2 linked regions of the Anolis sagrei genome follow. The protein of the gene in region 1 purifies or fractionates together with the protein of each later gene. This does not show direct contact. Links are inferred from orthologs where the notes say so. Each region holds a gene or a part of one and is shown on either strand. Other genes may lie near its edges.

What was found.
Region 2: the proteins of NF2 (region 1) and AMOTL1 purify together in Homo sapiens (affinity purification with mass spectrometry; 6 studies listed by BioGRID and IntAct, counting the BioPlex papers as one, with this or other methods). This does not show direct contact. The link is inferred for Anolis sagrei from reciprocal best matches to the Homo sapiens genes NF2 and AMOTL1.

The regions. Positions count from the first base shown.
Region 1 is NC_090034.1:48,737,786-48,755,020, reverse strand, and holds the start of NF2 (merlin), read right to left. Parts: upstream 8,491-17,235; 5' UTR 8,461-8,490; coding exon 8,401-8,460; intron 6,270-8,400; exon of another isoform or gene 6,262-6,269; coding exon 6,016-6,261; intron 3,783-6,015; coding exon 3,657-3,782; intron 2,338-3,656; coding exon 2,215-2,337; intron 2,007-2,214; coding exon 1,923-2,006; intron 1-1,922. Other genes in the region: NIPSNAP1 (protein NipSnap homolog 1), read left to right, coding at 9,010-9,086, 13,578-13,705, 13,822-13,867, 15,068-15,162, 15,325-15,395, 15,907-16,047, 16,125-16,156. UniProt on the Homo sapiens protein: Probable regulator of the Hippo/SWH (Sav/Wts/Hpo) signaling pathway, a signaling pathway that plays a pivotal role in tumor suppression by restricting proliferation and promoting apoptosis.
Region 2 is NC_090023.1:19,885,317-19,901,671, reverse strand, and holds the start of AMOTL1 (angiomotin-like protein 1), read right to left. Parts: upstream 6,160-16,355; 5' UTR 6,145-6,159; coding exon 5,760-6,144; intron 1-5,759. UniProt on the Homo sapiens protein: Inhibits the Wnt/beta-catenin signaling pathway, probably by recruiting CTNNB1 to recycling endosomes and hence preventing its translocation to the nucleus.

The sequences.
Region 1 (17,235 bases):
TCAGCATCTTTTGGAGGCTGTGCTGTCACTTCATCTCCTTTCTAAAGAGCTTTCTTTGTAAACTTTCCTCCGAAATGCCATGCCTAAAATACCTCCCCACTTAATGTGGTCCCTATTCATCTACTCACACTGCTGTTTTCAATCCGCTAGGTGGGCAGCAGGGCTTCACCAGTTGGACGGCAGCCCAGTGTGCCTCTCTCAGAGCAGCACTGTGCAATTTTCTTGCAAAAATATTGAAACTTGGCTCATTGCCAAGTAGTAAATGACCTCCTTCACCCCACAAAGCTTAATATTTTCTGTCATGAAATCCAGAACACTGCTATTGTCTTTTTTCATAGGCCTGTGGTTTTCTTGCACTTTATACATTACTAGCATATCTACTGATGTTTCCAAGGTGTCATTGGGACATCTGCCTGCCTACATTATCCCTTCTCCAGCTTTGAGAAGAAAATCTACTTCATCCCTTCACCAGCTCCGAGAAGAAGGCCTAATTCCTCCCCTCTCCAGCTCTGAAAGTGGGTCTACTTTCCTGCTTCTCCAACTTTGAGAAGGCCTACTTCCTCCCTTCTCCAGCTCTGAGAGTGGGCCTACTTTTCCCTTCTCCAGCTCTGAGAAGAACTCAGGGCAGCTTACAACCAGCAACAATTTGATGCCAACATATACAACAAAACAATATAACACTAGTTAAACATTAATTAACACATTAAATTATTTATTTATTTATTATTTATTTGATGCATTTATTAACCGCCATTCTCAGCCCTTTAGGGCGACTCATGGCGGTGTACACACATGTAAAGACAATTTACAAGAAGCAATTACAACAACATATAAACTACATAACAATTACAAAACTACACTAAAAATCCGCTTCGTCTCATAGTAGAATCATAACCAATCTCATATTCCTTGTTCCATTCCAGTCATCTTTACCACATTGTTATAGCACTTAAATAAATGCCTTCTCGAACAGCCATGTCTTGAGGCTTTTTCGGAAGGACATGAGGGAGGGCGCCTGTCTGATGTCTGCAGGGAGAGTGTTCCACAGCCGGGGGGCCACCACCGAGAAGGCCCTCTCCCTCGTCCCCGCCAGACGTGCCTGTGAGGCAGGCGGGATCGAGAGAAGGGCCTCCCCAGACGATCTCAAGGTCCTCGTGGGCTCGTAGGCCAAGATGCGGTCCGAAAGGTATTTTGGGCCGGAACCGTTTAGGGCTTTGTAGGCCAAAACCAGCACCTTAAATTGGGTCCGGTAGCAAATCGGCAGCCAATGGAGCTGGGACAACAAGGGCATTGTATGCTCCCTGCCACCCGCTCCAGTTAGCAACATGGCTGCCGCGCGCTGAACCAGCTGAAGCTTCCGGGCCGTCTTCAAGGGCAGCCCCACGTAGAGAGCGTTGCAGTAGTCAAGGCGGGATGTGACCAGAGCGTGTACCACCGTGGCCAAGTCAGACTTATAAAATTCAATGATAAAATATCCATTTAAAAATTACTTCCTCCCTTCTCAAACTTTGAGAAGGCCTACTTCCTCCCTTCTCCTGCTCTGAGAGTGGGCCTACTTTCTCCCTTCTCCAGCTCTGAGAAGAAGGCCTACTTCCGCCCTTCTCCAGCTCTAAGGAGGCCTACTTTCTCCCTTCTCCAGCTCTGAGACTTACTTTTTCCCTTCTCCAACTTTGAGAAGAAGGCCTACTTCCTCCCCTTTCCAGTTCTGAAAGTGGAGTTACCTCACAATTTCTCCATGACAACATCGCTTGTTCATCCCTTCCTGCCTTCCCCTCATATACATCTCACCTTTCTTTCTTTCCAAATTCATAAATCCTAATTTGACACCACAGCACTTGGAATGTCAAAGAAACAAAAACTAAGGTCTAGTATGGATCAAAAGTGGAAGAAAAAGAGAATTCAGATGATAATTTCGAGCTTACCTTGGCTTGAACTGCGTAAGAAGCGAGAAGGACGGAAGCTTCAGGAGGACAGTAGATCTTCTCGTCTAAAATCTGCTTCTTGACCTGCAAGAAGAACAAGAAGTCTACCTTTCATGTGCCGGATTTAACAGGGACAGCTTTGGACTACAACTCCCAGCCTTCCCAGAATCCTAAAGTTGGAAGCAACCCTCCAAGGTTCAGCTAGTCAACCACATTCCATCATTCCTGAAAGATGCCCACCTGAGCTCTGTTTGGAGATCTCCAAAGATGGAGACTGTCATTCTCTACGTACCTGAAGAAAGAATAAGTGTTGCGTGATTTCCTGGACCAGTTCCTCCTCTGCATTCTCTGGGTAAAACTTGGCCAGGAAGTGGAACGTGACTGGCTCCTCCTTCGGGACATCGTGGTCCAAGACCTGCAAAATTGGCATGGATTCACAGTATTTCATAGATCTTCAGTCTCTCTCCTGTCTCAAATATCATATTTGACATAAGTACCCAATAAATGAGACACGAAGCTGGAGAGAGACTGAGGATCCGTGCAACGTTCAGCAGTGTAACTCTCTGCCCCGGAGTGTGGTGGAGGCTCCTTCTTTGGAAGCTTTTAAACAGAGGTTGCATGGCCATCTGTCAGGGGTGTTTTGAATGCAATATTCCTGCTTCTTGGCAGAATGGGGTTGGACTGGATGGCCCATGAGGTCTCTTCCAACTCTTTGATTCTATGATTCTATGAGGACTCATGCTATTTGATTCTCACCATTTCATAGATCCTCAATCCCTCTCCTGTCTGAAATACTGTATCATATTTGACATAAGTAACGAATGGATGAGACATGAGGCTAGAGAGAGACTGAGGATTCGTGAAACAGTCGGACATGAGGATTCATGCTATTCGATTCTCACCATTTCATAGATCCTCAATCCCTCTCCTGTCTGAAATACTGTATCATATTTGACATAAGTAACGAATGGATGAGACATGAGGCTAGAGAGAGACTGAGGATTCGTGAAACAGTCGGACATGAGGATTCATGCTATTCGATTCTCACCATTTCATAGATCCTCAATCCCTCTCCTGTCTGAAATACTGTATCATATTTGACATAACAAATATAACAAATTAGTGAACAAGATACAAGGTTGGATATATGGGGCTGGAGAGAGGAAATGGTGGGAAATGTGGATTCACACCGAACTCTACACTTGGATTCACACCACTTCATAGATCCCCGTCTCTCCCCATTCTTGAGTATCATATATATACAAGTAACAAACGAACAAGACGTGAAGCTGGAGAGGGACTGGGGATCTATGAACTGGTGAGAAGTGTGGATTCACACTGAACACTACTATTCAGGTCACACCACTCCCCAGTCTCTCTCCGGTCTAGGGTATCACACATGACACAAGACACGAACAAATGAGACAAGAGGCTGGAGAAAGGCTGACGATCCATGGAACAGTAAAATGTAAAGATGCACACTGAGCGTTACAATTCAATTCTCACCATTTCATAGATCCTCAAACTCTTTGCATTTTTGAGGATCATAAATGATACAAGTAACAAACAAACAGACGAGACAGGAAACGAGATAAAGATGTCAGTCTGGAGAGAGACTAAGGATCCTCAGTCTCTCTCTAGCCGCGTGTCTCATTTGTTGGTCTCATACCTGACACAGGTAGTGAATGAACATTCAGATCCATAAAAACAAATGGTCAAGTGCCTCGTCCTTACCTTCTTATCCATTTTGAGCCAAGCCATGGTGTCCTTGATCATGTACTGCAGCCCAAAGAACCATGTCTCGCGGAGCCCCAGTGTTCGGCAGACAAGGTCAAAGAGGTCCTTCCCTTTCCATTTGACCTGCGGCAGAAAACCAAGGGTTAGGAAGTCCTGCTGGAAGACCTAGAACATTCCTAGAGAGGGGTCTAGGGTCATTTCCTGTGGACTCTATGGAAATACCGAGATGAATTTGCAAGCATGTCTCTATGGGAACTTCGGGGAGACACATAGCATACATACCATACACAGGATATTCCGCTAGCTTTATCTTGTTAAGATGCATCTGAACTACATGGATGACCTCCTTATAAATGAGATGACTGTGGGGATGCTATTCCACTGGACAGTGATTAATGATCTTTGTGAAGTGTGATGACACTTCACAAAGATCATTAATCACTGTGTATTAAAAGCACTCACAAGAAGGTAAGGCTCATTCTGCCAAAATGATGCATTAAAAGCACTCATAAATGGCAAACGTGATGACACTTGCCATTTATGAGTGCTTTTAATGCATCATTTTAGCAGAATGAGCCACTTTTGATCTATTAGTAGGCACTCGTTCCTTATTAACAAATGCGTCACAAACCAAAGGCTCTTAATAAGGAGAAATACTCACAATTTGGGGGAAAACACATTTCACAAATGAAATTTTTGGGAAATACTCGCATTTCTGGGATAGAAACTGGATGTTGGATGTTTGTTATACACCAGGTTGAGTGTCCTTTACCCAGAAATCCCTATTGAAATTAAGGATTTCTGGCACAAGAATACCATAGAGTCACAATGGACGGCCTAGAAAATGCCTAGAGAGGATGTACAGTATTTTGAATAAATGAAGCTATGGATAATAGAGGACCCTACTGAAATACTGGACAACCATAGAGGACAAGACTTAGACGTAGACATGGAGGACCTAGAAAATGACTAGAGAGGACATATGATGGGACAGCGCAAAAATGCTACTAGTAAATGCGCCCAAGTATTTTAGAAGATAACAGAGGGGTTTGCGAGTTTCCCTTCCATTTATTCCACCAAAGACTACACAAAAAAAGCCATGTAGCTCCGCCGCACAACACAATTTTAATCTACTTCTGCGGCGCGATGAAGCAATCATGACTTTGAAATGAAAAGCTATTTCTGCTGTCCAAAGAGCCGGCAATATGTGTCTCATCTGAACCAAGGTGGAGTACTGTGGGCCAGACTTTGTGTGGATATGTGAATTGGGGAAATGAAGAAAGGACTTCCTGTGCAGGAATATCACAGAATTGTGCTGGAGGACCAAGAAAATGCCTAGAGGGAGGTGACATATTTAGCCAGAAAGAGACAAATGAAACCACAGATCAGAGCAAAACCTACTGAAATTACTGATAAATGCAAAAATGAAGGATGTCCTGCACAGGAAGACCATAGAGGCGGAATGGAGGACCTAGAAAATGCCTTAAGGGGACATATTCCATTGGACATTGTCCAGATATTGGAGTCGTACTCTATCAGCAATTGCCTTCCCTTTGTTGCTTTGAACAAGATAGGCTCTTTAGGTTTGTTCTTAAGTGGAATTTGTATGTAAGTCAGAACACATCCATTTTTTAAGGGGAACTCCAGCCAAATATACACATATACATATACGTGTGTGTGTGTCTATATATGTGTAAATCTTTATTTATATCCCACCTTTCTCCCCATGGAGACTCAAGGCAGCTAAGATCTATCCAACCTCTCTCTCTCTCTCTCTCTCTCTCTCTCTCTCTATATATATATGGTTTTGCTTTGCAGCACCCCTGTTCTTAACTAGTCAGGTGTTTGTAACATGGAGACTGTCTGGTTTTTGGAGGCTTTTCTGGCCTCAAAGCCCCTTGGAATACTATCACTACCGTAGTCCAAGGGTGCCATTGACACTGCTAGAATACAGTTGAGTGCCACTGTAATGCTACAAGGCCCTGGGAGTTGTAGTTTCCCAAGACCTAGAGTCACCTGCAGGCTGAGAGAGGTGGTATACAAATGTAGCAAATAAATAAATAATAATTTTTTGCAGCCTTGCCCAACGACAAATCCCATAATGCCATTAGGCTTAGGCCATCCTGGAGATTTCTCGCACAAGAACCCTCGTCGTTATTCCAGCCATTTCCTGTACAGAAATTATATATGGCTGCACTATACATCCCAAAAACAAAGGGCTACTCCCAGGATCCTGCAGCACTGAGTCACAGCCGTTCAGATGATGTCCAAGGGCACCCATGCAACAGTGTCCTTGGGCCCTTTCCTGTACAGAACCCAATCCTGGCCCAAGGCCACACTACAAATCCCGGCTCACCTCGCAGTTGAACTCCATCTCGGCCTCCATGGTGACGATGCGGACGGTGAAGGTCTTGGGCTGCTTTCTCTTCAAGGAGCTGAAGCTCATCCGGGAGGCGATGGCGCCGGCCATCTTCAGGGCCTCTGGGAGATCTAGTTGGCCCCACCGGAAAGTCAAGTGCGCCAAGGGGGGGCAGCCAAAGGGCCCCCCAAAAGATCCATTGGAATGGGCAGAGGGTTGAGGCAAAGAAGGCTTTATCCGGCCCTGGACATCTCAAAAGACGGACAAAATGATCAGTGTAGAAGTTGATTGATTGATTGACTGGTTGACTGGCTTAAAGAGATGTTTCGATCTGTAGGTTTTGGGGGAAAAGGCATTATATTCTGAGTAGATGGATTAGACTAATAATTGCTCAGTTGTTGATCAATTGACTGAATGATTTCGGAATATTGGCGGAAGGAGGGGCTACGCTGGATATATTAATTCAAAGAGAGGTTTTTATGGGGGGGGGGGTTCTATTAACCTATGCTTTTTAATGAACAGATGGGATTACTTGAACAATCGACTGATCGATGTATAGATTGATTGATTCATCCATCAATCTACAAATGGATCTATGATTGATTGGATGATTAATTGGCCGGTTGAATGATTTGAAGTGAGGTGCTATTGGAGAAAGAAGAATAGTGTCCTATGGTTTTTAAAGGATGCTTGGGATGATCGCTCAGTTGATCAATCAGTCTCTGAACTGATCAATCAATACATTGATTGATTGATCAATATATCAATTAATCAATTCAGAGACTGATTGATTGGCGGGTTGAATGATTTAAATGGAAGAATTGGAGGAAAGGAGTGTTTCTATTCTCTGATGGTTCTTAAAGAATGGAGGGGACAATTGATCAATTAATCAATTGATCTGACCAATCGATTTATAGGCAGATTGACTGACTGCCGAGTTGTCTGAGTGATTTAGAGGATTTGGGGGAGGGGGAGAGCAAGGTGCTATATTGGTTCTTAACAGCTAGATACAATGATTGATCAATTCATTATTAATCGATCGATCAATCAATTAAGAGTTTGGGGAAATATTAGTAGAGGAAGGGGCTACATTGGATGGTTTGATTGATAAGATGGTTTTGATTGGGAGGGTTTCTATTGTCCTATAATTCTTAACAAAGGGATAAGACAATCGATCGATGCAGGGGCCTTGGTGAAACGAGAGGCTATGTTGGACTGATTGATAGAAAGAGAGGTTATTATTGAGGTTGAGAAAGCTTTCTATAGTCTTTATGGCTCTGAACGGATGGATGGGATTCCTGATCGATCGATCAGTCAGTTGGTTTAGAAGCATTGGTTTATATTGGAGTGACTGATTGAAAGACGAGTTATTATCGTGACAAAGGTTTTAATTTCTTGTTCAATCAGAGGCGGCCCTAGGTAATTTTCAATGGTAAGCAAACAGTATTGTGGCACCCCAGCCAATCACTGATATATATTTTCTGTTTGTCGTGGGAGTTCTGTGTGCCATATTTGGTTCAATTCCATCATTGGTGGAGTGCAGAATGCTCTTTGATTGTAGGTGAACTATACATCCCAGTAACTACAACTTGCATATGTCAAGGTCTATTTTCCCCCAAGAGCGCCCCTGGGAAAATCAACTATACTGCAAATGCTTACTTTGCGTAATGGGTTGAGCCGCCCCTGTGTTCAATGGTTCTCCAGGGATGGGTGGGACAATGGATCAATTAATCGATTGATTGATTAATTGATTGAAAGAGATACTTATTGGGATTTTTTTGGGAGACTTGGGGTAAAGAAGTGTCTTTCTTGTCCTATGAGGGAAATGAATGGGATCATTGATCAATCCGTCCATTAACTGATTAATTGATCAATCCATCAATCAATCAATTGATCAGTCCATCCATTGACTGATTCATCAACTGACTGAAAAAGTGTTTTGTATTGGGAGACCCTTGTCCTATGATTCGTATTGAAGAGTTAGGACAAGGGATCAATCAGTGGATCGATTGGAATAGTTTTAGGGAGGATTGGAAGAGGGAGGAGCCAAACTCTGGCTTGGTTTATTAACAAAGAAAGCTTTATAGGGAAAATGGGGGGAGGGAAGAGTTTCTTTTCCTTCGAGGATATAATAAATATCGATTATCTATTGATTGATTCAAAAAAGGCCACTTATGGGGCATAAACGGCTTTTTTCCAATCTTAAGAGGAGATGAGGGGGAAGGGAGGCCTACGAAAGCCGTTTCCCTCATGTTTTGGGGTAAAAACGGAAGGAAAGGGGGGAAATCAGGGGTGCGGGGGGGTATACGGAACAGCCCCCTGAAAGCGCGGGGGGAGGGAAGGGGGAACAGCCCCCCCGAAGGAAAAGAAATCGGCCCTCACCTCCGCCGCCGGAGCCGGAGCTGCCACTCCTCGTCTCTCCCGCTCCCGATTGGTTGGCATTGGCCACGCCCCCTCAGGAGGCGGGGTTGAGGCCCAACGCTGCCTAGTGGTTGCCTCTCCTCGTCGTTTGCTATTGGTTGTGGAGGGAAAATAGGCCACGCCCCCGAAGAGGCGGAGCGGGCAATTCTTTTCTTTTGGAATCCTATTTTAAGGAGACATAGAGGTGCCTACGAGATGGCTTATGTGTTATACTTCCGGGTGCCGATAGAAAAACGAGGCGCCATTTGCGAGGCGGGAAAATGGAAAGCAACTCTTTCCCCCTCGGCTTTTCAAACGAAACCCGAAGTGTTAGATGTCTGTCTTAAAGGGAAAGGGTAATGAGTGTTCCGATTGGTGCGTTCGCCTGCCATTTGGCCCCCAAAGACCCGCCCTCTCCATAAAGGCCATTGTAATTGGCTGGCTGGGAAAGAGCGCCCCCTCGAGGAAGAAAGGCCGAATGACGTTTGTTGCTAAAGCAAGGCCTCGCGGCCCCGCCCCTCTTGAGACCAAGCCACGCCCCTAAATAAAGGGGCGTGCCCTCCTTCGCCTCCTGGTTCGGAGAGGGAAAAAATGGCTGCTACGCGGAAGCTGGTTTTGGAGGCTCTTCGGGGCAGAGCGGCCTTTTCCTTTTCTAGCCTGGGCTTCCGGTAGGAATATATGTTATATACACATATGTTACATACATGCAGCAATACTCTTAATATGTTTAGGAATAGATTTAATATATTGGGCAATAGTATTAGGAATAGATTTAAATTATATTCAAATAGTTTGACTATATTGGGGAATATATCTGATGTATTTAGGAAACATTAACAACCTCAGATATGCAGATGACACCACTCTGATGGCCGAAAGCGAGGAGGAGCTGAGGAGCCTTCTAATCAAGGTGAAAGAAGAAAGCGCAAAAGCTGGGTTGCAGCTAAACGTCAAAAAAACCAAGATTATGGCAACAAGAATGATTGACAACTGGAAAATAGAGGGAGAAAATGTGGAGGCTGTGATAGACTTTGTATTTCTAGGCGCAAAGATTACTGCAGATGCAGACTGTGGCCAGGAAATCAGAAGACGCTTACTTCTTGGGAGGAGAGCAATGTCCAGTCTCGATAAAATAGTAAAGAGTAGAGACATCAGACTGGAAACAAAGATCCGCCTAGTCCAAGCCATGGTATTCCCTGTAGTAACCTACGGATGTGAGAGCTGGACCTTAGGGAAGGCTGAACGAAGGAAGATAGATGCTTTTGAACTGTGGTGCTGGAGGAAAGTCCTGAGAGTGCCTTGGACTGCAAGAAGATCCAACCAGTCCATCCTCCAGGAAATAAAGCCCGACTGCTCATTGGAGGGAAGGATACTAGAGGCAAAGTTGAAGTACTTTGGCCACATCATGAGGAGACAGCAAAGCCTAGAGAAGGGAATGATGCTAGGGAAAGTGGAAGGCAAAAGGAAGAGGGGCCGACCAAGGGCAAGATGGATGGATGGCATCCTTGAAGTGACTGGGCTGACCTTGAAGGAGCTGGGGGTGGTGACGGCCGACAGGAAGCTCTGGCGTGGGATGGTCCATGAGGTCAAGAAGAGTCGGAGACGACTGAACGAATGAACAACAACAAATTTAGGAATAGATTTAGAAACAGGTGTAATATATGTAGCAATACTTTTAATATATATTATATAATATAAATATATGTAATATATATAGGAATAGATTTAATATATTTAAGGTATTTAGGAATAGATTATACACACACACACACATATATACATATATCAATACTTTTAATGTATCTAGGAATGTAATATATTGAGGAATATGTTTAGGAATAAATTTAATATATATATAGCAATACTTTTAATATATAATATATATTGTATAAATATATATTATATATTTAGGGATATTTCTAATATATTTAGGAATATATATATAATACAGCAATACTTTCAAGGTATTTAGTATCTAATATATTTAGGAATATAAAGTAAAGGTTTCCCCTGACATTAAGTCTAATCGTGTCCAACTCTGGGAGGTTGTGATCATTTCCATTTCTAAGCCGAAGAGCCGGCGCTATCCATAGACATCTCCAAGGTTATGTGGGTGGCATGACTGCATGGAGTGCCATTACCTTCCTGCAGAAGCTGTACCTATTGAACTACTCATATTTGCATATTTTCAAACTGCTAGATTGGCGGAAGCTGGGCCTAACAGCAGGAGCTCACCCCACTCCTCAGATTCGAACCACCAACCTTTCACTCAACAAGTTCAGCAGCTTAGCGGTTTAACCTGGTGTGCCATCAGGGGACCCATTTAGGAATGTATTTAGGAATATGTATTATATATAGAAATGGAGCCCCCGGTGGCGCAGTGGGTTAAAGCACTGAGCTGCTGAGCTTGTTGATTGAAAGGTTGCAGGTTCAATTCTGGGGAGTGGCGTGAGCTTCCGCTGTCAGCCCTAGCTTCTGCCAACCTAGCAGTTCGAAAACATGCAAATGTGAGTAGATCAATAGGTACCGCTCCGGTGGGAAGGTAACGGCGCTCCATGCAGTCATGCCAGCCACATGACCTTGGAGGTGTCTACGGACAACGCTGGCTCTTCGGCTTAGAAATGGAGATGAGCACCACACCCCAGAGTCAGACATGACTGGACTTAATGTCAGGGGACTACCTTTACCTTTTTATAGGAATGCATTTAGGAATATATATATATATATATATATATATATATATATATATATATATATACAGTCTCTCTCTCTCTCTCTCTATATATATAGAGGAATATATCTAATATATTGAGGAATACATTTAATATATATAGCAATACTTTTAATATAATTAGGAATATAAGTGATATACTTAAGAACATATTTAGGAATGTATTTAATATTCCTAAATTATTGCTATATATAGCATTACTTTTAATATATTTAGGAATATATCTAATATATTTAGAAATATATTTTATATATATTGCAATACTTTGAATGTTTCCTTTCTCTGTATCAAAGTTAATGAATGGCCCGCTTCAGGCCAAAGGTTTCACCCAAGGCCAATGGGGGTGCATTTCTACTTGATTTTATGTTATGTTTATATTATTCCTAGCTTTTATTATTACTTTATAATATAATATTATTATAGTATAGATTTCCATTATGGTTATATTATTTTTTACATTGTTATTGTTTTATTCAGAATATTTCCAATTCTGGGAATATTACAGAATCTGTGGATATGGCGCCTATCCAAAGTGGGATATTAGTATAATAATAATAATAACAACAATACTTTTATATTACTTATTATTAGTTTTAGTAATATTAGTATTTAATAATATTCTTAATAATATTAATATGTAATAGTATATATATATAATAGTAATAATACTGAAATATATACACACATATGTATAGTATATAATAGTAATAATACTGATACACGCATACGCATATATAATAGTAATAATAATAGTAATACTGATAAACATATGTAATAGTAATATTTTTTTTATCGTGTCAGTTGTATTACATTTTTGACAGAACAAACAAACAAACATACAAAAGACACAGAGTTTGCAAACTTGGTAGTTGATTAAATGTCCTTTGACCAGTGCCTCTGGTGTTGCCGCAAGAAGGTCCTCCATTGTGCATGTAGCAGGGCTCAGGTTGCATTGCAGCAGATGGTCAGTGGTTTGCTCTTCTCCACACTCGCATGTTGTGGATTCCACTTCGTAGCCCCATTTCTGAAGGTTGGCTCTGCATCTTGCGGTGCCAGAGCGCAGTCTGTTCGGCGTCTTCCAAGTCGCCCAGTTTTCTGTGTGCCCAGGGGGGAGTCTCTCATTGGGTATCAGCCCTTAATTGAGGCTCTGGGTTTGAGCCTGCCACTTTTGGACTCTCACTTGCTGAGGTGTTTCAGCGAGTGTCTCTGTAGATCTTAGAAAACTATTTCTTGATTTAAGTCATTGGCGTGCTGGCTGATGCCCAAACAAGGGATGAGCTGGAGATGTCACTGCCTTGGTCCTTTCACTATTGGCTACTACTTCCCGACGGATGTCGGGTGGTGCAATACTGGCTAAGCAGTGTAATTTCTCCAGTGGTGTAGGGCGCAGACACCCCGTGATAATGCGGCATGTCTCATTAAGAGCCACATCCACTGTTTTAGTGTGGTGAGATGTGTTCCATACTGGGCATGCATACTCAGCAGCAGAGTAGCATAGCGCAAGGGCGGATGTCTTCACTGTGTCTGGTTGTGATCCCCAGGTTGTGCCAGTCAGCATTCGTATGATATTGTTTCTAGCACCCACTTTTTCCTTGATGTTCAGGCAGTGCTCCTTGTAGGTCAGAGCACGGTTCAGAGTGGCTCCCAGGTATTTGAGTGCATTGCAATGCTCCAGTGGGATTCCTTCCCAGGTGATCCTCAGAGCTCAGGATGCTTGTCTGTTCTCCGAAACTCTAGGTGCTCTTACTGCCTACTACAGGGAAAACCAGCTGATCCCTAATCCATCTAAAACACAGATGGCTTTTCATCTCAAGAACAGTAATACCAATATATACATATATACATTATATTAGTAATTATAAGAGTAATAATGCTGATATATATGTCTCTGTTTGTGTAATACTGATATATATATACACAGACACACACATATATAATAGTAATAATACTAATAATAATCCTTAATAATGTAAAAGTGTTTTTGTTATCATAGGCCCAATGTAATAATATATCGATAAGAATACTAATAAAACTAATAATAATCCTTAATAATATAAAACTTTTGTTGTTATCATAGGCCCAATGAGGACCAAAGCAATGAGCCCAGGCTGTAATAGTAATAATAATATCTATTAATATATTATTATTGTTATTATTATTATTATTACAGCTTGGCCTCATTCCTCTGGTCCTCATTGGGCCTATAACAAAGTGCTTCCTTTGTAATTGTTATTCCTTTCTTTTCCATGTATATATATGGAAATGTCATCATACATCTATATACACACACACATACATGAATATATATACGGTATTTCCCACCATCTACTGGGATGAGCAATGAGATACCATCGCAACAGTATTATTACTATATATTATATTATTATAATATATTTTATTATTATTTTATTATTAATATTATTTGCAGGCATTATTCCCAGGAGGGTGAAAGTAGCTGGTTCCGCTCGCTCTTTGTGCACAAGGTGGACCCTCGGAAGGATGCCCATTCCACCCTCTTGTCCAAAAAGGAAACCAACCACCTCTATAAAATCCAATGCAAGTATCTGATTAATACTCAGATTCATTCATAGTCATTGTATTCATTCATAGCTTTACATGCATTCATAGCTTTGCTCTTTGCATTTATTCATAGCTTTTTCTCTCTGTTTCAGTCCACAATGTGAAGCCCGAATGCTTGGAGGCTTATAACAGCCTGACGTAAGTCTCTCGATTGGGGAAAAAAAGGAATATAACTCCATAGCAGGTATGGGCAAACCCAGGCCCGGGAGCCGGATGTGGCCCCTTGGGCTCTTTTCTCAGGCCCTCCTCTCTCAAACCATCCTATCCTTCCCTCCCTTCCTTCCCTCCCTCTTTTTCCTTCCCTTCTTCCTTCTCTTCTACCCTTTTGTCCTTCCTTCCCTCTCTCCCTCTTTCTCCTTCCCTTCTTCCCTTTTGTCTTTCCTTCCTTCTCTTTCCTTTATCCTTCCCTTCCTTTCTTCCATCCTTCTCTTCCTCCCTTCTCTTTCCTTCCTCCTTCCCATTCATCCTTTCTTCCTTCACTTTTCTTTCCTTCCTTCCCTCTTTCCTCCTTCCTTACCTCTCCCTTTCTCCTTCCATCCTTTCCTTCCACCTTTTCATTCTTCCTTCCCTTTTGTCTTTCCTTCCTTCTCTCTTTCCTTTATCCTTCCCTTTCTTCTATCCTTCTCTCCTTTCTTCCTTCTCTTATTTCTTCCTCCTCCCCTTTCGTCTTTCCTTCCTTTCCTCCCTCCTTCCCACTCTCCCTCTTTCTCCTTCCATGCTTCCCTTTCTTCCTTCTCTCTTTCTTTCCTCCTTCCCTTCCTTCCTCCCTTCCTTCCATCCATCAATCACTGAGCAGTCAGGGAGTGCTAGCATGCGGCCCCCAAGTTACAAAGTTTGCCCATGCCTGCTCTATAGTAATAGTAATATCTATATATATAGAGAGAGAGAGAGATTTTATTTCTAAAAATATTTGATATCGTTTCTTGTTCCTCGTGTCTGCCTCTCAATGGATTTCATTAAGCAAGAATTCATGTTCTATCACAGTGTTATTATTCTTTTGTATTTCATTATTATTACATTATTATTTTAGTCTGCAATATTTATGCTCAATATTTTATTATTTATATTATATTCCTTATTTTACTAGTAGTATTATTGTTATATTATTATATTATTGTTATTATTACTATTACTATATTATAATATTGTTGTTGTTATTATTACTATTGTACTGTAATATTATTTTAATATTATATTGTTGTTATTATTTTAATGGAAGCCAGAACCACACTGTGTTTCTTGGTCATGATGTAACCCCGCCCCCCCTTCTCTACAGCTGCTCATCTCCTATAGAAGGGGATAATGGGAGATGTAGTTCTTCCTGCTTTTCTTCCTCAGGGAGGAAGTCCTTCCGAAATTGCACTTGGATGCCAATTATCCTTGCGATTTGGTTGGAAACTGGAATACATGGTACGGCGAACAGGACCAAGCAGGTAAGGAAGAGAGATAATATATCCCATCATCCACTGAAATTAGCAATGAGCTACCATCTTAAAAGTATTATTATTATTATTATATGTTCATTATTATGTATTTATTATGGTGTATTTAATATTGTTATTATTATTATTGCAACATTATTATTATTTCTGCAGTTCACCTTTGGCGGTTTTCAGGCGGCTACCCGGCTCTGATGGATTCCATGAACAAGTTGAAACAGAATAAGGTCTTGAAATTAAGATGATTATTATTTTAATTAATTTAAATAGCAATAGTTTTATTATTATCATGCAGTGTAGTCGTATTTATATTTATTATTATTATCATAACTTTATTATTTGTATTATTATGCAATGTATTCATTACATTATTATCACTTTAATATTTGTATTATTATGTATGCAGTGTATTGTGGTATTATAATGTATTCATTATATTTATGATGATTATTATTGTCACTTTATTATTTGTATTATTATGCAAAGTATTGTAGTCACAATGTATTCATTGTATTTATTATTATTAATATCACTTTATTACTTGTATTATGCAATGTATTCATTACATTGCTTATATATATATATATATATATAAAACTATATATTCATCATATTATATATATCAGTATGATGCTGCCATGTGTTCATTATATTTATTATAATTTATTATGATGAGTCAATGTATTAATTATATTCTTATATATATTATATCTACATATATCTCTATATTCATTCTAGGAATATTTGGAATTCCGTAAGGAGAGGAGCAAGATGCTGCTTTCTCGGAGGAACCAATTGCTGCTGGAGTTCAGTTTTTGGAACGAACCTCTGCCTCGTTCTGGGCCAAATATTTACGAATTGCGGACATATAACTTAAAAGTAAGCAAACAGTGGATGAAAAATACGATTTCAAAAATTACTAAAATAATAACGATTCCTCTGTGTTTTGCTTTCAGCCTGGGACCATGATTGAATGGGGAAATAACTGGTAAGTAACACTCTCTTCCAAAAATATCATCATTATTATTACTATTATATATTTTATTAGGAACCCCTGGTGGCACGGTGAGTTAAACCACTGAGCTGCTGAACTTGCTGACCGAAAAGTCGGCAGTTCGAATCCAGGGAGTGGGTTGAGCTCCCAATGTTAGCCCCAGCTTCTGCCAACCTAACAGTTTGAAAACATGCAAATGTGAATAGATCAATAGGTACCACTCCGACGGGAAGGTAACAGTACTCTATGCAGTCATGCCACCGACATGACCTTGGAGGTGTCTATGGAAATGTCGGCTCTTTGACTTAGAAATGGAGATGAGCACCACCTCCCAGAGTCAGACTCAACTGGACTTAATGTCAAGGGGAAACCTTTACCTTATATATAAGACTACATAATAATAATAATGTAATATAATAATGTTTTATATATATATATATATATACATACAGATTTTCCTCTTATTCCTACATATTTTTCTTTATTAATGCATATTTTCCTCCTTTTATTCTGTATTATCGATCTATCCATCCACCAATCTATCCATACACTAATCTATCCACAATTTCTTCTAGCTAGCTAGCCATCCATCCGCCAATCTATCCATAATTTTTACTAATCTATCTATATCCATCTATCCACCTACCCACCAATCTCTTCACAGTCTATTTATACTTGAAAGACCCATATTTTTTCCAGAAAATCACTTTTATTTAAATGTTTAAATACATTACACAGACCGTCAGGACTCAAACCAAGAAATCTGTTGCTTCACAGGTTTCATCACCTCAATGCCTGTCCAAAGAGGTCTTTGAATTCCACATTCCCCAATACTTTTGAGGGGAGATTCCTTTGGATATGCCAGCGTAAATTCTGACCCAGCCCATGCCTTTTGATACTTGGTTGTCAACAGTTCACTTAGGACAGACACTGCTAGTTATTGGCCTTAATATCTGCAGCAAGAGGTGTTCTAAAAACTAGGGGTCCTCAAACTTTTTAATCAGAGGGCCAGGACACAGTCCCTCAAACTCTTGGGGAGCTAGATTATGATTTCAAAAGAACATGAATAAATT
Region 2 (16,355 bases), on another chromosome or scaffold:
TGGCACACAGAACTCCCATGACCAACAGAAAATACTGGAAGGGTTTGGTGGGTATTGACCTTGAGTTTTGGAGTTGCAGTTTACCTACATCCAGAGAGTACTGTGGACTCAAACAAGGAAGGATCTGGACCAAACTTGGCAGGAATACTCAATATGCCCAAACATAAACACTGGTGGAGTTTGGGTAAAATATACATTTGGGAGTTGTGGTTACTGGGATTGACAGTTCACCTACAATCAAAGAGCATTCTGAACCCCACAAATGAGAGAATGGAGCCAAACTTGGCACACAGAACCCCCATGACCAACAGAAAATACTGTGTTTACTGATGGTCTTTGGCAACCCCTCTGACACCCCCTCGTGACCCCCAGGTTATGAAATGCTGCTCTAGAGAGCTACACATTCAGTATCCTGGTACTAAAGAACTTTACAATTTCTGAATGGCACTAGGTTCAAAAGATGAGACAATCTGTGCATGGAAAGAGTACATTTTTCTCTTGACTGAGGAGACATATACAGATTCTTATTTGCATCCTAGAATAAGAGATAAAGCTACTGGAAGAACAGCATGGCACTTTAGCAGTACTATGAAATCCTGTTGAGGAAATTACGCACACATCCTTGCCATTCCTATGTACTGAGTACGACTGTTACATTTTCCTATAGAGCGACTTCTTTATGGAAAATGTACAATAGCTTGTCTGTCTTCCCTCACCGGGGAGTAAACCCCACTGAAATCAGGAGGGCCTATGTTTGAGTGGACCTATTCAGGTCTTGCACTGTAGCTCTGACAACTGGGGAATCAATCAAATTTAGTCCTGAATTTATTGTCCATGCAGTCAGAGGAAAATCTCATTATATGATAAAACTATTTCTGAGACCTGAAACGATATCTGCACTGCAAGTGAAGCAGGGACGAAAGCAATCTTCAAATGCTAAAACAATCTCTTCTAAAAGAGTGGCACAATGTACGAACAGTAGCATGTAGCAGCGGTCTAAGAGGATGCTAGGCTTTGATAATAATGACTGAGAACTCACACTTCCTCCAACCTCATATCTTCATGCAACTGCGACAAGCAAAATTATATGATCTTTGCATTCTTGGTTTGTAGACCTTTCAGTCATTTCTGAATAATGACAACCTGTCGTTTCCATTCTATGGCCATCCTTATTTATTTATTTACAGTATGTATATTCCACCCTTCTCACCTTGCAGTGGACTCAGGGTAGATTATAATGAACATATAAATGGCAAATATTCAATGCCATTCAACATTCCAGATTTTTCCAGCTTCATGAGGGTATGCTCGATTCTGACCACAGCGGGAGCTGCCGCTTCACCTTCCACTTTTGACACCGAGTCATTTATTGGAAGGTTTGCACATTGTTGGAAGGTTTTATGGCATCATAAATTAGTTAAATTAACCTTCCTGCATAAAGCGGTACCTAAATTTCCTACTTGACAGATACAACTATCTTTTGGGTTGCAAAGGTTGACAGCAAGCTAGACTAATGACCAGAAGCTCACTTCGACCTGGGTTTGCTTCAAACTCATGACCTCTCAGTCAGTAGTGATTTAATGCAGCTAGCTATCATAGAATCATAGAATCAAAGAGTTGGAAGAGACCTCATGGGCCATCCAGTCCAACCCCCTGCCAAGAAGCAGGAATGTTGCATTCAAATCACCCCTGACAGATGGCCATCCAGCCTCTGTTTAAAAGCTTCCAAGGAAGGAGCCTCCACCACACTCCGGGGCAGAGAGTTCCACTGCTGAATGGCTCTCACAGTCAGGAAGTTCTTCCTCATGTTCAGATGGAACATGAGGAACAGCTATCATCTAGCTGCACCACAGCAGGTCCTCAGGCATCCTTAGTGCAGAAAATTGTGAACAAAAATTAGTTCATAGGGTGTTTGCCTTCCTCTGAGGCTGAGAGAGTGTGATGCGACCAAGGTCACTCAGCAGGTTTCCATGGCTGAGCAGAGATTTTAATTCTGACAGCCAGTCTGCCATTAAAACCAACTAGACCATACTGTCTGTCTTTGCTTTTCATGGTTACCAAACAATAAAAAGGTAGTACTTTCCTCATTTTTAACTAGTAATACCCATAATTATTTACCAAACTGGACACAGCATATTGTTTGAGAACACAGAAATGGTGGACCACTTTAACAACCACCATGTCAGACTATACAGAGAAGCCACTGAAATCCACACGCAGTGGACAGTTTCAACAGAAAGGAGGAAACCATAAAAATGAACAAAATCTGGCTACCAGTATTTTAAAAAAATCAGGACAGTAAATAAAGAACAACACTAAAAAACAGGGGAATTCCAGACATGAAACAATCAGGGCCAGCTAACACCTCCCAACAAAGGAGTCCCCCAGGCAGGAAGCAGCCAGGCTTTGAAGCAGCAAGGCCATTCAATGCTAATCAAGATGGCCAATTGCAACATTCACACCTGCCTCCAACAGACAAGGGTTCTTTCTCCCACCTGGTCATTCCACAGCTATATAAACCCCACTTGCCTAGTTCCCAATAGACTCCTCAACCTCTGAGGATGCCTGCCACAGATGTGGGCGAAACGTCAAGAGAGAATGCTTCTGGTTTGCCACTGCCTTCATCTGTAAAAGAGAGACGGTGACGTGCTCAAGCTCACCCAGTGAGTTTCCAGGGCCAAGCAGGAATTCAAACTGAAACCACTAGGCCACAACAGCTTATAGACATTAATTACCAACAACATAGCAGTACGTCTTGAATAATACACAGGACAGTTATGAAAACTTTTTGAAGACTACTCTCAACCTATAATTATTATCTTCCCCACTGGCCATCACTTTCTTCCTAGCAGGTGACAACAGTGTTGGGATTTATTTTTGCTTTCTTTACTTAATTCCAGAAATAGCCCTCCCTCTCCCATTTCTCCACCCTTGATTTATTGATTCGTCCTGACAAACCGAAATAGCAAGAAGTCTGCAAACAAGTTTAGACTACAGAGTATGTCTTCAAATGGTCTGTGGTCTTATTGCAATTCCAGAGGGTGTTCTAAAGGTTCATCTGCACCTTAGGAGGAGTGCAGTTTGACACCACTTTGACTGTCATGGCTCAGTGCAATGGGATCGTGAAAGTATGTACAGATTTCTGTTGGTGGTACTAAAATGTGTGTGAGTTTTACAATGGATTGCATTTTAGAATCGAACAAAATATGGGTTTCTTCATTTATAGTCAGTTCTCCCTCTTACAGCAGTTCCATGATTCCATAGCACTGAGGCTGGGATGTTAAAGTGGTGTCAAAGGGCATTTATTCTGGGTTGCTGTGCATTTTCCAGGCTGTATGGCCATGTTCCAGAAGCATTCTCTCCTGACATTTTGCTTGCCTCTATGGCAGGCATGCTCAGAGGTTGTGAGGTCTGTTGAAAACCAGGAAAATTTGGGTTATATTTCTGTGGAATATCCAGGGTGGGAGAAAGAACTCTTGTCTGTTTAAGGCAGGTGTGAATGTTGCAGTTGGCTGCCTTGATTAGCATTTAATAGCCTAGCAGTTTCAAGGTCTGGCTTCTTACTTCCTGGGGGAATCCTTTGCTGGGAAGTGATTAGCTAACCCCAATTATTTCCTGTGTGGAATTTCCCTGTTTTTTTTTAGTGTTGTTCTTTATTTACTGTTATAATGTTTTTTAATACTGGTAGCCAGATTTTGTTCATTTTCATAGTTTCCTCCTTTCTGTTCAAATTGTCCACATACTTGTGGATTTCAGTGGCTTCTCTGTGTAGTCTGACATGGTGGTTGTGAGAGTGGTCCAGCATTTCTGTGTTCTCAAATAATATGCTGTGTTCAGGTTAGTTCATCAAGTGCTTTGCTATGGCTGGTTTCTCTAGTTGGATTAGTCTGCCTTTCCTTTTCTTTAATTTGTGTTTGGACAATGCTGCTGTGTGGTGGTCCCTATGTAGACTTGCCCACAGTTGCATGGTATACAGTAGACTCCTGCAGAAGTGAGAGGATCCCTCTTGTTCTTTGCTGAACGTAGCATTTGTTGGATTTTCTTAGTGGGTCTGTAGATCATTTGCAGATTGTGTTTCTTCATCAGCTTTCCTATGTGGTCAGTGGTTCCCTTGATGTATGGTAAGAACACTTTTCCTCTGGGTAGATCTTCATCTTTATTCTGGTGGCTTGTTCATGGCCTTGCAGCTCTTCTGATGTCTGTAGTGGAGTCTCCATTGGCCTGTAGAGCCCAGTTTAGGTGGCTTGGTTCACCTTGGGAGGAGGTGGGGTTTGCAGATTCATTTTGCCAGTGCTTTAATTGTGCTTCTTTTTTGGACTTGGATGATGGTTGGAGTCTTTATGTAGATATCTATAAGGTGTATGTTTTCTGTAAACATTCACACTTGCCTCAGGTAGACAAGAGTTCTTTCTCCCACCCTGGACATTATTCCACAGATATATAAACCCCATTTTCCTAGTTTCCAACAGACCTCACAACCTCTGAGGATGCCTGTCATAGATGCAGGCAAAACATCAGGAGAGAATGATTCTGGAACACGGCCATATAGCCTATAAAACTCACAGCAACCTAATGATTGTGGCCATGAAAGCCTTCCACAAGCCATTAAAATCCACAAGAAAGGAAGAAACCATGAAAATGAACAAAATCTGGCTACCAGTATTAAAAAAACTCTAAAATTATAACAGTAAATAAAGAACACAGGGGAACTTCAGACAAGAAACAACCAGAAACACCTAATTACCTCCCAACAAAGGATTCTCCCAGGCAGTAAAAGGTCACTCCTAAAAACTGCCAGGCCATCAAATGCTAATCAACGTTAAAACATTCACACCTATCTCCAACAGACAAGAGTTCTTTCTCCCACTCTGGACTTTCCACAGATATAGAATATATATTTTTCCTAGTTTCCAACAGACCTCACCACCTCTGAGGATGCTTGCCATGGATGCAGGCAAAATGTCAGGAGATAATGCTTCTAGACCATGGCTGTAGAGCCCGAAAAACCTACAACAGCCCTTCCACAAGCCATTTATTCTCTATCTACAGCAACTTAAGCGGGTGAGGGAGGAAAGGAAGGGACCGGAGAGTGTTAGAAACGGTGGGAGTTGAAGTCCAAAACAAAAGGCTTTCCCATTCCTGACATAGATGCACTTTGGAAAAGTAATCCCACTGAGGACCTTTGGCAAACTCTCCTCCCCAAGGAACAACAACTCACAGCAACCCAGAACAAGAACTGAAGCTTCTTCCAGGGCACATCTCAAGTTTGTTGACATTTCAGAAGGCGAGGAATACCTAAGTTGGAGGAAGGGGCTTGCAAAGGGGGATGAGAAGCCCTAACAGTGCCAGGCAAGCTCCAGCATCGCCTTCACCGCCTGCAGAGAGAAGGAGCCGCTTGGCAGCCAGGGCGCTTCTCTCCCAAGACCTGGGGATGGGGTTCCCCTTTTCCACCCTCCCTCCATCCGCTGCCCACCCCTCTGCACGACCCTCCCCTGGATTTCCCCCTCTTTCCAGCCCCGCCAACCCAAAGGGGAGGCTTGGAAAGGAGAGGAAACCAGAGGCGAGGAATGGCGCAAAGCCTTTTCCAGCGCGCAACGCTTGGCGCTTTGACAGCCTTTTGCGCGACTCGACCCGCACTTTGGGGCATCCCGCCTTGGCTAAAAGCGGAAAAGAGGAATGCAAGAGGGGCAAAGGGAACCCCCTTCCTCCTCCCGGAATGAACAGAATGCCAGGGAGTATGATTCCCCCCTTTCTTTTACCTCCTGCCCAAATCATAGCAACTTCGCGGCGTCTTAAGCTTGGCCCATGGGTTCGACGTCTCCAGAGCTGCCTCCTCCTCCTCCTCCTTTTCCTCCTTCTCTTCCTTTCTCCTCCTTCCTTTCCCCAACCCCGTCCGGTCCCTGGAAGGCTACGGCGCCCAGGCAGCAGGGACTCGGCTTCCCAAAGTAATCCTACCCGGGGAAAAGCCCGCCGCGCCCTCCGAGGCCGGCGCCTGCCAGGTCCTAGCGCGCCTCGCCACCGCCCAGGGCTTCTCCAAGGCGCCCCTCCACGCTCTCCACTGACAGCGCCGGGATTCCCCTTTAATGGCTGCCCATCCATCCCATGGCATCCCAGGGCTTGTGGTTTGGAAGGGGCATCCCACATCCCCAGCCTGAGAGGCATCCAGTGCCTCACCAAGGATGCATCTACGCCAGGAAACCCTGGAATGATTTCAGAAGCTTGGATTTGGAAAACAGAGTCAATAGGTTCTTGTGGGTTTTTTCGGGCTATAGGGCCATGTTCTAGAGGCATTTCTCCTGATGTTTCGCCTGCACCTATGGCAAGCATCCTCAGAGGTAGTGAGGTCTGAACATGGCCCTATAGCCCGAAAAAACCCACAAGAACCTAGTGATTCCATCCATGAAAGCCTTCGACAATACAGAAATAGTCAACTTCTTACACCAGCCAACATGCATTTTGGGGCCTCAAAGATTAGTCATATTTCTGGGAATATATGACTTGCTGATTCCAAGACTGGCAACTGTTTCCCCCTATCACAGGCACAGGTGATTTGGACTTCAACTCTCACAATTCCTCAAGCCTCAGGCCCCTTCCTTTTCCTCCTCAGCCGCTTAAGTGGTTAGGAATTGTAGGAGTTGAAGTCCAAAACACTTGGAGGGACTGGTGTTTTTGGTCTTCCTTGGTATCTGTCTTCCATTGTTTTTATGTCTTGGTGAAATTTCTCACCTTGGTCTTAAGTCACTTCCATATCGAAGAAGCTAGCACAGATGTGGTCTATCCAATGCAATGTTCTGAATCAGCACCCCAAATGACCAAACCAAATCTAAAGCTGACCAAAAACTGATTGGTACTAATGTTGAAGAGTAGTCCCTGGTCAAGATGGTCCCTGGTCAAGTGGTCCCTGTTAAGGTGGTCTCTGGTCAAAGTAGTCCCTGATCAAAGTGGTCTCTGGTCAAAGTGGTTCCTGGTCAAGGTGGTCCCTGGTCAAGGTGGTCCCTGGTCAAGGTGGTCCCTGGCCAAAGTGGTCCCAATCAAGGTGGTCCCTGGTCAAGGTGGTCCCTGGTCAGAGTGGTCCCTAGTCAAAGTGGTCCCTGGCCAAAGTGGTCTCTGGTCAAAGTGGTCCCTGGTCAAAGTGGTCTCTGGTCAAAGAAGTCCCTAGTCAAAGTGGTCCCTAGTCAAGGTGGTCCCTGGTCAAAGTGGTCCCTGGTCAAAGAAGTCCCTGGCCAAAGTGGTCTCTGGTCAAAGAAGTCCCTAGTCAAAGTGGTCCCTAGTCAAGGTGGTCCCTGGTCAAAGTGGTCCCTGGTCAAAGAAGTCCCTGGCCAAAGTGGTCTCTGGCCAAAGAGGTCTCTGGTCAAAGTCGTCCCTGGCCAAAGTGGTCCCTGGCCAAAGAGGTCCCTGGCCAAAGAGGTCCCTGGTCAAAGTCGTCCCTGGCCAAAGTGGTCTCTGGCCAAAGTGGTCCCTGGTCAAAGTGGTCTCTGGTCAAAGAAGTCCCTAGTCAAGGTGGTCCCTGGTCAAGGTGGTCCATGTTAAAGTGGTCCCTGTTAAAGTGGTCTCTGGTCAAAGTGGCCCCTGGTCAAGTGGTTTCTGTTCAAAGTGGTTTCTGTTCAAAGTGGTCCCTGGTCATGTGGTCCCTGGTCAGAGTGGTCCCTGGTCAAAAAAAGGTTGGGAACCACTGGTGCAGATGCACCCAAAGACATTTTGGAGATACATACAGTATGATCCCCATATCCACAGTGGATATGTTCTTAGATTTCATATGGATGCACAAAACCATGGGTGATTGTGAAATGAAGGACATTTGGCCCAGGAAGAGTCAGGCTGGAAGACCTCAAACATGCCCAGAAAGGACATTTTTGGTCAGATGTGGATAAATGAAACCATGGATATGGGGATTCTATTGTATAAATGATAAAATATTATAGCAACAGAAGAAGGTTGCCTTGACACAGCTTTCAATCAGTCCTTATTACAGCAAACACAGATGGTGGCTTCCAAAAGGATAGTGGCTGAGAACAAGAGGGAATAGGAATATGAAATAAATCGATATAATAAAATCCAGCGAGTGTAATCTCTGACTCATCCATAGCACAGAGTCCAATGATGGTGTTTAGTTATTGTGGGATGTAGAATGACAGCTGAGAAAGAAAAATGGAAGGTGGATGGGGGTTAATGAATGGAGAAAGCGGTTCTTTTAGGGAGAAGGGAAAACAGCAAAGCTTTGTTGGAAATGTCTCATGCTGGGCCTCACAATTATTATATCAGTGTCATCCACAGCAATTAGATTTGGATTTAGTGTGTATGTACTAGACTGACTCATTTAATTGTTTGTAACAAACAATGTGCTTTGCCCACACAAGAACCACTCAAGGTTTCTTGCTATCTGAACGAAACAAACAACAACAAATGGCATTCTCCAGTAGAACAAAATTACTTATTTAATTGCCTAGTAGAAAAGCCATCATAGTGTAGTATTTTGATCACTGAGTTACAATGCTAGAGTCCAGGTTTGAATCTCTGTTTTGCTATGGAAACCCACTTGGGCAAGTCACATTCTCTCAGGGTGCGTCTACATTGTAGACTTAATGCAGTTTGACACTACTTTGAACTGCCATGGCTCACTGCTATGAAATCATGGGATCGTTTTGCAAGGCTTCTCTGCCTGTCCAATAAGCCCATATCATTGAGCCATGGCAGTTACTGGAGTGTCAAGCTGTGGTTTTGTTCTAGAATGCATATTACCATGAACTTCTCTTGACCCAAATCACAGCTTACTCTTAGGTGAACATAATAATAATAATAATAATAATAATAATAATAATAATAACAACAATAACAAAAACAACAAACAAACAAACGCCATCAAAGCCAGAATTAAAAAGTCGATGACAGATCCCAAATGTAGATGTAGGAAGCAGATGAAACAATAGATCACATCCTCAGCTGCTGCAAGAAGATCGTGCAGACAGACTACAAGCAGAGGCATAACACCGTTGCCCAGATGATTCATTAGAACTTGTGCCACAAATACCATCTGCCTGAGACAAAGAACTGGTAGGATCGCAAGCCTTAAAAGATTACAGAAAATGAACACATCAAACTACTCTGGGACTTCTGGATTCAGACAGAGTTTGGGAGCACAATACTCCTGACCTCACAATCGTGTTAAAAAACAAAGTATGGATTGTCGATGTTGCAATCCCAGGCGACAGCAGGATTGAAGAGAAACAACTGGAAAAAATGACACATTATGAGGATTTAAAGATCGAACTGCAAAGACTCTGGCACAAGCCAGTCAAGGTGGTCCCAGTGGTGTTTGGCACACTGGGTGCAGTGCCTAAAGACCTTGGCCTGCATTTGAACACAACCGGCGCTGACAAAATTACCATCTGCCAGCTGCAGAAGGCCACCTTACTGGGATCTGCACACATTATTTGCCAATACATCACACAGTCCTAGACACTTGGGAAGTGTCTGACGTGTGATCCAATACAACAGCAGCAGAGTAATCTTGTTTGCTGTGGACTCATCTTGTTGTGTTTCTAATAATAATAATAATCATCATCATCATCATCATCATCATCATCATCTTTATTTATACCCCGCCACCATCTCCTCACAGGGGACTCAGGGCAGCTAACATGAGGCCAAACCCAAAATTACAGTACAGCAAAATAGTCCACACAAGCAAATAATACTTCAAAATAAAAAAAAATGAAATAACAAAGTATAACAAAATATAAAATAAACAAAAGTAAAATAACTTGATAGAGAAATAAAACACAGTGGGCGGGCCAAATGCAAAGGATAAAATTGATAAAATCCTGGGTGAGATAAGTAAATGGAGAAGAATGTGTCTGAGAGGTGAGCTTAGAAGGGGCGAACAATGGGATTGAGCCTTTATTAAGGACGGGAGAAAGTGCATCATGAGGACAGTACTGTAGTTGGGACGGACATGATATGGGGATATGTGTTCACTTTGTAAAACTACAGCTCCCACAATTCTATAGCATTGAGCCATGGCAGCTTAAATTGGTATCAAATTGCATTGATTCAACACTGTAGATGCACCCCTTATTATGTACTGTGTAGTCCAGTGGTTCTCAACGTGTGAGTCCCCAGATGTTTTGGCCTTCAACTCCCAGAAATCCTAACAGCTGGTAAACTGGCTGGGATTTCTGGGAGTTGAAGGCTAAAACACCTGGGGACCCACACATTGAGAACCACTGGTCTAGTCAACAGCATTTGCAAAGTTTCATCTATAACAGTGGTTCCCAACCTTTTTTTTGACCAGGGACCACTTTCAACATTAGTACCAAAAGGGTAATGAATCAGTTTTTGGTCAACTTTAGATTCAGTTTGGTTATTTGGGGTGCTGATTCAGAAAATTGCATTGGCTAGTCCACATCAGCTCCAGTTTCTGATACAGAACATATGCCATCCAGTAGTTGCCATCTGCTCGTCCATAGAAAACTATATTTAATAATCTAGAGATGATGTAGTAGTAGCAATCTTTAGTGGGTAGTCAGCCTCCCCCCTCCTGACATCTCCATTGCCTCAGCACTATAAGAGGGCTTTGTGAGACCAGTCACTCTCATTGCTGCATGGCAATGGTGTAGTAATGGTGAGGCCGCAGACCATATTTTTGTTCTTGCAGACCACTTGTGGTCCAAGGACCACTGGTTAGGAATCACTGATCTATAAGAAGTATTTAAAGCAAATCCTCACCATTAGCTAGCCTATTCTCATCACATTCTGGTACTAGGCACAGAAAGAAATCTTGTTTTAATACTCCTCTAATTAATAGGCACGATGAAATCTTTGCCATGGTGACCAATGTACATATTTATAGCACATTTCTTGGTGCGCTTTCTCCAATGTACAGAGCCGCGGTTGAAAAGAGCACCCGAAATAAAGATCCGCTCCACATCTGTTTTCTCTATTTGGATGGAGGGTGCTCAATTCTTTCTTTCCCTTAATAATCTGACCTCTTTTGTTTCTGACAAGGGGATGCTGTGAGGCAGATCTCTCCGGCTGCTTGGATTCGTGCCAAGCTCAGATGAGGTCAGAATGGGGGGAAAAGACAGCAAGAAAAATACTGGGCAAAGGGAACATGGAGTGAGCGAGCGCTCGTTCTCACAGCTGGATGGCCACAGAGTAATCCGGACAAACATTTGGGGGGATTGTGTCTTGAAAAGACCATCAAATGGAATTACAGATTTCTCGCTGCAATCGTGCCATGGCAGATGTAAGAATAGCCCAAAGCTTTGACACCTGTCACCAACAGTAAGCTGCGTCTGTGTCTCTTTGCCAGGGCTTTGGTCTGCATGCTGAAGTCTGAGCGGGTGTTGCATCAGCTCCACACCAAGGCACAAAAAAGATCCTTGTAGGAGTTAAATTGTAAGTGCAGGGGTAGGAAACATTTGACAAGCAAGCTTCATAAGGGGCCTAGATCCTACTATACAAACAGCAAAGGAGGAGGCAGAAGAGGAGAAGGAGAAAGATAAAGATGAGGAGGAGGAGGAGGAGAAGGAGAAGAAGAAAACGGGGAAGAGGAGGAGGAAAGGGGAAAGTGATAATGAAGGAAGAGGAGAAGGAGGAATTATTTTAATATTTCGGCATACTCAAAAACAGGAGAACCATATTGCCAACAGGATTCTGGGAGTTATAATCCAAAAAAGTAGTACAGTATGACCCGCATATCCACAGAACATATGTTTTCAAGGCCCTGTGTGGTTACCTGAATCTATGGATAATAGGTAAAGGTAAAGGTAGTCCCCTGACATTAAGTCCAGTCATGTCTGACTCTGGGGTGTGGTGCTCATCTCCATTTCTAAGCCAAAGAGCCAACGTTGTCCGTAGACACCTCCAAGGTCATGTGGCCGGCATGACTGCATGGAGCGCCGTTACCTTCCCGCTGGAGCGGTACCTATTGATCTACTCACATTTGCATGTTTTCGAACTGCTAGGTTGGCAGAAGCTAGGGCTGACAGCGGAAGCTCACACCGCTCCCCGGAATCGAACCTGCGACCTTTCGATCAACAAGCTCAGCAGCTCAGTGCTTTAACCCACTGCGCCACCGGGGGCTCCCCTATGGATAATAACGAGCCCTATATTCTGATTATACTTAGGCCAGAAACATACTATAGAACCACACTAGAGTATGTAGATAGGCTCACAAATACTTCAAGAGCAGGGAATGTTTTTTGGAGTGTATATAAGTGAAACTGTGGATAAGGAGGCCAAACTGTGTTTTTAAGCTTTGGTTTGGATTAATGTCCCGGGGTTCTGACACTCAACCATCAATGAATCACTCAAAATAAAGTCACCAGGATCATACAGAACATGGTATCAATCACAAAACTGCCATAGGGAAAGGATAAGTTCATAAACTATTAATTTTGCGCTGTAGATGCATTCTTCCCAGTTTAGATCCAGGGAAGTCATGCTCCCCCTCTATTATGCCTTGGTCAGACCACACCTGGAAAACTGTGTCCAATTCTGGGCACCACAATTGAAGGGAGATGTTTAGAGGAATGCGGCTAAAATGATCAAGGGTCTGGAGAACAAGCCCTATGAAGAGCGGCTTAAAGAGCTGGGCATATTTAGCCTGAAGAAGAGAAGGCTGAGAGGAGACATGATGGCCATGTATAAATATGTGAGGGGAAGTCATATGGAGAAGGAAGCAAGCTTGTTTTCTGCTGCCGTGGAGACTAGGATGTGGAACAATGGCTTCAAACTACAGGAAAGGGGATTCCACCTGAACATGAGGAAGAACTTCCTAACTGTGAGTGCTGTTCAACATTGGAACTCTCTGCTCCAGAGTGTGATGGAGACTCCTTCTTTAGAGGCTTTTAAGCAGAGGCTGTATGGCCATCTGTCAGGGGTGCTCTGAATGCAATTTTCTTGCTTCTTGGCAGAGGTTTGGACTGGATGGCCCATGAGGCATCTTCCAACTCAATGATTCTATGATTCTTAAGTCTGTTCTTATCTAAAGAGCAGCTAAAAAGCTCCTAGTTGTTCTTCTGGTGGTTTTTTAAAAAACCTTCCATCAGAATTGAATAAGATAGGCATTCAAAGAGAGAACATCTTCAAGAAGGAGTGCCTTCCAATAAAGCAGTGGTTCTCAACCTGGGGTCCCCAGATGTTTTTGGCCTATAGCTCCCAGAAATCCCAGCCAGTTTACCAGCTGTTAGGATTTCTGGGAGTTGAAGGCAAAAAACATCTGGGGACCCCAGGTTGAGAACCACTGCAATAAAGGAATAAGCAAAGTAGGACACTTGGCCACTCCTTAATAGAAGGAGGCTGCATAGCTTTCTTCTGTTCTATGAATCCACCGATGCATCTACATTGTAGAAATCATTCAGTTTGATCCCACTTTAACTGACATGGTCAATGCTGCGGAACTTTGGGAGTTCTAGTTTGGTGAGACACCAGTTTTCTCTAGTAGAGAAGATAAAAAACCTTGTAAAACTACAACTCTCGTGACTGCATAGCATTGAGCAATGGCAGTTAAGGTGGGGTCAAACAGAATTAATTCTGCATTGTAGACGCACCATTTGTTCTTCTATATCTGGAGTTCTTGCTACATATTTCTGATACTCTTGGCTATATATTTTTCACCACTGGCACCCATTACTTATAGGTTAGGGATAAAAAATAATTTGGTAGGTTTGCCCACAACCTAGAAATTACAACATGCATGTAATTAGTTACATTGATATAACAAGGATACAACAAAATTTCCTTTTTAAAACTATGTAACAAGTAAACAAAAATAACAAATAATTGAGTATTTAGTTTGCTACAAAGTTATTGTCAATTGGTGTAAAAAAGTACATGTAGTCCCCAAGTTACAAACAGGATAGGTTCTGTAGATTTGTTCTTAAGTTTGGGTCCAGGCTATTTGTCCAACCGCATCTCCCTATATAGACCATCTCATGCACTGCAGTCAGCAGAGGAGACCCTGCTCTCGTTCCCACCTACATCTCAAGCTTGACTGGTGGGAACAAGAGAGGGGGCCTTCTCCATGATCGCTCCTCATCTCTGGAACTCCCTCTTCCCTAAAGAAATAAAAACACCCCCACCCTCCTCTTCTTTAAGAAACTTTTAAAGATGCACTTATGCAATTTAGCATATGGAGAGGAGGAAGACCAAGATACTACTCCACCGAAATGCTGACAAACCCAGTTGCACTATATGTTGGCTAAGATACATTTTTAATAATCACCTATGTTAGCCATTTTAAATACAATTAACGTTTAACTGTTTTTAATGATATATATTTAATGTTTACACATGTTCTCGTTTATTGACTAAGATGGTTTATTACTACCTACTAGTCCCTATTTCAGCGTTTAGTTATTTAATTATAAGTTCACTTTTAATTATTGTTTATTATTGTATTATTTATTATTTGTATTATTTATTATTTTGTATTATTCCTGATGTTGCTTGTTACGTGTGTGTGTTTGTGTGTGTGTGTGTTTACACGTGTCTGGAGTTACAGTTAAAAATGTATCTGTTCTGACTTACATAGTAATTCAACATAACAACAACAACAACAACAATCTTTATTTCCAGACCGTACCTCTATCCCAAATGGGACTCAGGGTAGTTTACAATACTCTCTCTCTCCATATATATATAATACTATTCTCTCTCTCTCTCTCTCTCTCTATATATATATATATACACACACACACAATACAATACTCTCCCTCTCCCTCCCTCCCTCCCTCTCTCTCTCTCTCTCTATATATATATATACACACACACACAATACTCTACTTTTACAAGTCTCTCTCTCTCTCTCTCTTTCTCTCTCTCTCTCTATATATACACACACACAATACATTACTCTCCCTCCCTCTCTCTCTCTCTCTATATATATATATACATATATATACATACACACACACAATACTCTACATTACAATACTCTCTCTCTCTCTCTCTCTCTCTCTCTCTCTCTCTCTCTATATATATATATATATATATATATATACATGCTTTGGATAGCATAGGAAAGGGTTAGTACCCCTGGGGAGTTTGTTTTGCTGTCTATTCAGGAAATTTTGCCTGAATTCTGTCCCTGTGATAACTGGATTTTGAAAAATTGGGCTGTCTGTGTAAACAAAAATTGGTGATAAAGCATCAGTGGAGATACATTTTCCCCCATGATAACACTTTCAGGAGTTAATTTCTCCTCTAAGGGATAGATTTATCCCACTTCCTGTTGTCTCATCCCTTTTTCTAGCTTCCTGCTGTCTCATCCCTGTTCTTAACAATGAGTCATTTATAAGTTGGATGTTTGTAACTTTGGGAATGCCTGTATGTAATAGTGTTTTGGGTGTTGGATTACAACTCTGGAGTCCAAGGTTTAAATTCCTACTCAACCACAGAAACCCACAGGGTGACCTTGGGAAGTCACATTCTCTTAGCTTCGGAGGAAGATGCCTTGCTAAGAATCCCCTGTGATAAGGTCACCTTGATTCAGAAAAAATATTGAATACTGTTACATGGCACTGTTAAACATTACTCCTGAACAAACATGGCTAGAACTGAGCTATGTTTTACATGCTGCTTTGAGTCTCCATGTAGAAATAAATAAATAAATAATAACAATAACAACAACTTTATTCTTGCACCCCACCTCTATCTCCCCAAAAGGACTCGGGGTAGCTTACATATGACACAAAGTGCCTAAGGCAAAACATAAAATAAACACACACTACATTAAGTAAAGTAAAAACTATAGCCTATAAAAACAATTTAAAACTCAGAAAAAGCTGAGCATAAATAGACATAAACACAAGAACAACAGCTTTCATATACTGGATTACTGCTGTATAGATCCAGGTATAACTGAATAGGACATTATAAATCAGGAATTTGGTGTTTGTTTTTTTCTGTGTCAGGAGCAACTTGAGAAACTGCAAGTCATTTCTGGTGTGAGAGAAATGGCCATCTGCAAGGATGTTACCCAGGAGATGCCTGGATGTTTTGATGTTTTACCATCCTTATGGGAGATTTCTCCCATGTCACCGCTTGGGTAGCTGGAGCTGACAGAGGGAGCTCAACCTGCTCTTCCCGAATTCGAACCACTGACCTTTTGGTCAGCAGTCCTGCTGGCACAAGGGTTTAACCCACTGCGTCACCTGGGACTCAATGGGAATGTGATGGAAATGTTTAGATTGGTGTGAAGAACATCTGACGCTTCTATTTTTCTGCTTTGATGGTTTTTACTGTCCTGTTCTCATATCCTTAACATTATGCGCTCCTCAAATGAAGCCCACAACCCTTTAAAGCTATCCATATTGGTTGCCATCCCTATACATTTTGTAGCATGAACTCCA